Linked DNA regions of Mus musculus. The protein of the gene in region 1 purifies or fractionates together with the protein of each later gene. This does not show direct contact. Links are inferred from orthologs where the notes say so. Each region holds a gene or a part of one and is shown in the gene's direction. Other genes may lie near its edges.

Region 1 (3,514 bases):
ATATTTTAAGGCTAGAGTCAATGTTATTTTAGTTAGGAAATTAATGGGAGGATCCTTTGTAGAAAGTGGGAGACTTCTTGAGCTGGTGGCAGTTTAGGGCTCTGTCAGTGTGGAATAAAAATAAGAGAAAATGTAGGAGGGAGAATTGATAGTACTCAATGCTTGGATGCATATAAGAGAGTAGACAGAAGAGAGTTCAAGACTCCTAGGGTTCAGGTTGAGGAACTGGATGGTAGGGTGGAGAGCCTCTTCGCTGAGATGCAGAGTTGTGCAGGTCCTGAGTGATTTTGGATATAGCAAATCAAGGTATCTTTTCTCTCTGTCACTTGAATTCATATTCAAAATAGAATAGGAAGACCTTCATGTGCTTTATGGGTGCTCTGCTTTGTCTGTGTTTAGTTGTACTTTGCCATTTTTCCCTCACTCTAAATGCTCAAAGGTTATGACACCCTGACAGGAACTATGGCACAATGTGCTGATACGTCTCAGTGACACAGGTGACAGTCAATAGAAAAGGCAAATAGAGCAGCATATATAAAAGTTAGGAAGGAAGAGTGTTTAGGCAGAGGGAAGTAGAAATAAGAAGGGCACATAGTTTTCAAAACTATCAGCTCTCTGCTGTCAGGGCCATGAGTTAGTTCAGTGATACTCCAAAACGTTCACATGGAACTTCATATTCTGTGATCCTATGTTAAGTTTTGATTTGAGCAAAATCTAGACCACAGGTTCTCAGTGACATCAATCTCACCTGGTAATTTGTTTAAAATGCAAATTCTTGGGCACTAAGCCTCTTTGTGTGTGAGCATATTTGTGTGTGTGCTTGTGTGGCATATCTATGTGAATGTGGTATGCATGCAAGTTGGAAGTCTGAGATCTACGGAGCATATCTTCTTCAGTTGTGTTTCTTGCCTTATTTTTCCCCAACTCCTTATTTTTCTTAATTATTATTGTATGTGTATATATTTATGCTGTATGAGTGCATATGTCACAGTCACACATGTGAAGATCAGATAACCTTGTAGAGTCAATTCTATTCTTATACCGTGATGTGGGTTCCCCATAGTCAAGTGCAGGTTGCCAGGCTTGCTCTGGAAACACCTTCACCTGATTAACCATCACCAGCCCTTATGTTTTTGACACAGGGTCTCTTTATCTAACCTATAGCTTGCCGGTTTGGCTAGATTGATCAGTGACCTTTGTGAATCTGCTCGTCTCTTCTCAACCTGACACCTGACTTTTATGAGGATAATAGAGATCTGAATTAGGGTTCTCAAGTTTGTGCAGCAAGTAATTTATCCTTCCTAGCCCTCAGCAGTCTTATTCTAACCATACTCCAGGAGACCATGTACCCTAATATTTAAATTCCCTTGGTCTAGGTTCAGTAAACTTTCTCTGCATAAGGCTCGCAACATTAGGAAGGTTGAGAACCACTGCTGTAGACCAATATGGTAGTTGTTATCAGAATAAACAATGACATGTTAATAGTAACAGGAGTTAGAGGTCAGGCTAAATAGTTTCAAATATTGGCTGCTTTTAGAAACTTTTGATAATTGATTTTTCTTCTCTTTCTCTTTAAATGACACCTGTTTTTCTCCACAAAAATTAGTTCATTTTTGTTTTATTATAAACATGTAGTTCAATTACTAAAAATGGAAGCATTACAAAAATAATTGCTTTTCTCATTTTGATGACATTTTCTGTATGCCAGTTTTATTTTATCATAATATTTAAACTTTCAAAATGCTTGATCTGGTTATATACTTCCTCAGCTTTTAAGTGTAAAATTATAACTTAAGTTTTTTTCTTTTTTGAAGGTTGTTTTGGAAACAGAAATTACAAATAAGTCTGCTTTGAAACTTTATGAAAATCTTGGTTTTGTTCGAGATAAGAGGCTGTTCAGATACTATTTAAATGGAGTTGACGCACTGCGACTTAAACTGTGGCTGCGCTGAGGAACTGACAGCAAGGAACGACTCCACCCACACGGAAGCGACTTTTGCATGCAATGCAATTTGTGCAGAATTGCTTTGCAGGTGGATTTAGTGATTCCCATGCAGCTGTTATCTGTCAGTGTCCATTGAGTGTTGCACAATATTTGTTGCACTTTGGCATGGCGCATTTGTTCTGAATTAAATGAGATTGTTTTAAACTTCAAGAGTTCTGTTGGTACCAGCAGGATGTGCCAGTTAATAGCCAAGACTTGTTCATTTGCAAAGTCTGCTGACAGTGCTATTTATATAGTGATCATTTTATCACAGAACCAGTAAGTGGGACATGATTTTTGTTCCTTCAAGAAGCCAATGTAGATTGTAAAAGTCTCCTAAGTATACTAACATTTCACACAAAACCTGCCATAGTTTTTTGAAGGGGGTGAGGGAAAAGCTTCAATTTAGGTTTTATTTTTTCAATATTAAATTTTCCATCTTGAATATTGGTACCTCAGTGATTAGTGGATGAAAAGTGTAGGGTGGAATTTGTCTTATGATGAGTAAAGATGACAATTAAATTGCGTCTGCCAGTGCCTGTGTAGATAAGTATTCTTGTCTTCATCTCTAGTTTTTGAATGCATGCTCTTTTTCTTTTTCTTTAATACCTTTGCAAGCAAACTTGTTTTTATTTAAATTCTAAATTTGATAATAAATTATTTCAGATTTTTATCATTTGGACAGTTTTTCTAGGTGAGTGGCAGTACTTTGCTTTAGAAGGAAGTCCCTTCTTCCCTTACAGTAAGAAGCTGACCCTACTTGGGAAACTGAGAAATGGCTTAAAGGGATGGAGCTGGGAATTGTGGGGTTTGGATGCACTTTTTTGTTTTTGTTTTTTTGAGAATGGGGGAATTTTTGAAAACAATAGAAAATTAATGTAAATTGGTATGATCTTATTTAATCAAAATGATTGATAAGCTGTGAAGAACAGCTTCTATAAACTAGCTGGGTTTTTTCTTTTTTCTTTTTAACTTTATTTGAATTCACATTGCTTCCATTTCTGAAAATACTTCACTTTTGGTTTAGTGTTAGAAATGAATTTCAAGGAGCATTGTATCCATTTCAAGCTGCATTTATTTTCTTTTTACTCATGAGCAGATTGTTGGGGGACCTTTGCTTTGTTCCTCCAGAAAAAAAGGAGAGGGATGAAACATTTTTTTAATGAGTTCTTTGGGTTTTCTGAGCAGCCAAGGTGTTTATTAGTTACAGTGGATTTTGGCTAATCAGTGTAATGTTAGCAAATTGTAGCTCCCTGCTTTGGGTTGAGTTGGTAAAGCTGTGATGAGTAATTTATTTAACTAGGATACCTAAGCACTCATAAGGAACAAGAGTCAGTTTCTCAAAAATGCTTATAGGAATCTGGCATTCATGTTGTTTTTTTCTTTTGAATATACTTTTCTTCTACTCTAATACTTGGTTTGAATTTTATTTTATGGCTGTAATTACTGTATTTTTAAAAACCCTACCTCCATTAACAGTTGGTAAAGGCCCCTTTTCAGGAAAGTTTGTTGCGCTTTTTTTGTTTGTTT
Region 2 (2,706 bases), on another chromosome or scaffold:
GGCCTAGAGCTATGAAGGAGACTGAGGGAGCTGTAATACAAACATACTTCTGGAATTTCCAACTCTGGGTACCAGGACCATCTGCTTTCCTCTGTCGTGTTAACTCCCAGAAATGATTTCTGGTTCCTCTAGTACGTCCCCAGGCGCCAGAGCTCACCTGCAGTGTGTGCTCCTGCGTTGCAAGAGTGTTAATAATACGGATGTTCCGGGTCCGAGCAGACAGTCGTCCCACCTGGTAATTTGCCCCCTTCCACCAGGGTACTCCGAAATCATTGGCCCAATCTGAACGGGGCAGTGGCGGCGGGATATGTACGAAGCGGCCCCGCGGGGTACGGTATCTCATGCAACCAGTGAGTGGATCTATATGCTTGCGAATCTTCAAAAGCAAGGATTTGGAGAGACGGATCGGAGCAATCACTATTTCGAGTTCGAGTTATTCCCCGCCATCCCTCCTCTGCTCTCCAGTGCCGCTTCCACCGACCCCATACCAGCAGAACTTACGTCTCTAGTCTGTGGATCAAACCAGTGACTTATGTCCTGGCCTGCGACCTCCAGGATGGGTTTCAACAGTAGGTCCCCTAAAAAGAAACAGAGGCCGTCAATGGCCGGCCACCCAAGGGCCAGAACCAGCTCTCCAGCCCTTCCCTACCGTGTGTCCCTTACCTTTGAATTCCTCGACAAGCGGTGTTAGATTGTAAACAAATCCCAGGTAAGACACCCATAGGTCCTCGAGCTGGTTGTGTTCCGCTACTTCTGACGGCGTGAAATACCGACGTTGAAAATTATCCAAGTCTGGCCCGGCTACTAGGCCCCGGCGCGGCATGGCTCCTGGTCTACAAGAGGCACAGGCTCCCTCAGCTACCTTCTCGCTCCTCCGCAATCTTAAAACTATCAGGTCCAAGAACTACCTGAAGTGCGTTTGTCGCTGACATGGAAACCATTGTCCCTTTCCGGCCACCGGCCACAGTAGTTAGTTATACGTAAGTAGGGCGGGGTTTGGGCTGCGCGTGTCCACCGGAAGCATTCCGGATTCCGGCTTCGAGCCTACTGTGGTTGAATTCATTCTTAGAGGAAATGAAGACAGTCCGTTTCATAACGGAGTGTAGGCTAGATGAGTTAGGGGTAACAGAAAGTATCGACGAGGAGACTAGAATAGAGGGTTTTTTAATCACCAGATTTCAGGCGTTTAAAAGCTGTTTAAGCAATTGCAGGTAAAGTTCTCGCGATATTCTTCTCGTAGCCCAGTAGGCATGTAGGGACCTGGCATGAAATAAAATCTCGCGAGATCTGCAGTGGCGGAACCGGAGGCGAGGAGGAATTGTGATCTCACGAAAGCGCTTGGGAGCACTCGCGAGATCTGACGCGCCGATCCCCCAAAACGCTCTTAGGAAGTTTAAGGCCCAAAAGAGGTCCCAGGGCCAATGGCCGGAGCTGGGCCGACCATGCTACTACGAGAGGAGAATGGCTGTTGCAGTCGGCGTCAGAGCAGCTCCAGCGCCGGGGTTAGCGTGGGCTTGGTTTCTGGACGAGCAGTCGGGGAGCGACACCGGGCGGGGAGGGGAAAGGGGGTGGCGAGGTTGGAAAGGAGAACTACAATTCCCAGCAGCCCACGGGCTTCTGGCAGCGCCGCGAGGGCAGCTGGGAACTGTGGTTCCTTGGGCGTGCTGCCGATCCTAGGTGTCTGAGTGCTTGTCCTGCCCTAGCAGGACTCTGATGGGGAACAGGAGGACTCGCCGGCCACGCGTGCACGGCAGCAACTAGAGGCATTGCTCAACAAGACCATGCGTATCCGTATGACAGATGGAAGGACACTAGTCGGCTGCTTCCTGTGCACTGATCGCGACTGTAATGTCATCCTGGGCTCTGCGCAAGAGTTCCTCAAGCCTTCTGGTCAGTGTCCAGGGAATACACACCTACCTCCTCGGGAATGCGGCGGAAATTCACTGCAAGGCATTTCCTCTTGCAGGCCTTACTGCACCCCCTTATTTTCTGGGGGCGAGACGGATGTTTGCCTGCTGTTCTGATACTGACTTTTTTTTTTTTTTCCAGATTCATTTTCTGCGGGCGAACCCCGTGTGCTGGGTCTGGCCATGGTACCAGGACACCACATCGTTTCTATTGAAGTCCAAAGGGAGAGTCTGTCGGGGGGCCCGTATCTCTGACCACAATTGCACTTCTCTTTGAGACCATTAAACCCTATGACCAAAGTGGCCTGTGTCTGTGTGTAGGTCCAATGTCAGGGGAGGGCTAGCACACCCCACCCTTAGAGGTTCATCAGAGTTCAGGAGCTTCCTCAACCTGCCCCAATGCCTAGAAGAACCAAACCCTCCCTCAAGTTAGGAGCTTAAGGCAGCAGGCCCTAGGGTGGGCCCCTCCATCTTCCCTCCCACGCTCCTGCTTCAGTTTCTAGCGGGAAGCGGTGTCATCCTGCCCCGGAAGATCCATTGTTTCCCACCCCGGCCTGGCAACACTCAGTTCCTTTAAGCTGGGGTCAGAGAACGGGCTCGGGTCCCCAAGGGGAGCTGGGTAGGCAGCCGAAACAAGGCCCTCTCTGCGCTATTAATGGGGAAGTGACTTTGGGGTCAGGGCCAGACAACTCTGGGGTCTGATCAGGAAGAATGGACTAATGCGATAAGGAAAAGGCAGGATGCTGAGAGATGCTCTCTGATTTGCCCATTTGTAGTCTTGAGGATTCGTTTCCTACTC

The links.
Region 2: the proteins of Naa30 (region 1) and Naa38 purify together in Homo sapiens (co-immunoprecipitation; 3 studies listed by BioGRID and IntAct, with this or other methods). This does not show direct contact. The link is inferred for Mus musculus from reciprocal best matches to the Homo sapiens genes NAA30 and NAA38.

Annotation. Positions count from the first base shown.
Region 1 is NC_000080.6:49,185,736-49,189,249, forward strand, and holds part of Naa30 (N-alpha-acetyltransferase 30), read left to right. Parts: intron 1-1,814; coding exon 1,815-1,952; 3' UTR 1,953-3,514. UniProt on the Homo sapiens protein: Catalytic subunit of the N-terminal acetyltransferase C (NatC) complex. Catalyzes acetylation of the N-terminal methionine residues of peptides beginning with Met-Leu-Ala and Met-Leu-Gly.
Region 2 is NC_000077.6:69,394,471-69,397,176, forward strand, and holds Naa38 (N(alpha)-acetyltransferase 38, NatC auxiliary subunit), read left to right. Parts: upstream 1-1,320; 5' UTR 1,321-1,421; coding exon 1,422-1,502; intron 1,503-1,706; coding exon 1,707-1,890; intron 1,891-2,045; exon of another isoform or gene 2,046-2,049; coding exon 2,050-2,162; 3' UTR 2,163-2,201; downstream 2,202-2,706. Other genes in the region: Cyb5d1 (cytochrome b5 domain-containing protein 1), read right to left, coding at 158-376, 502-578, 664-823.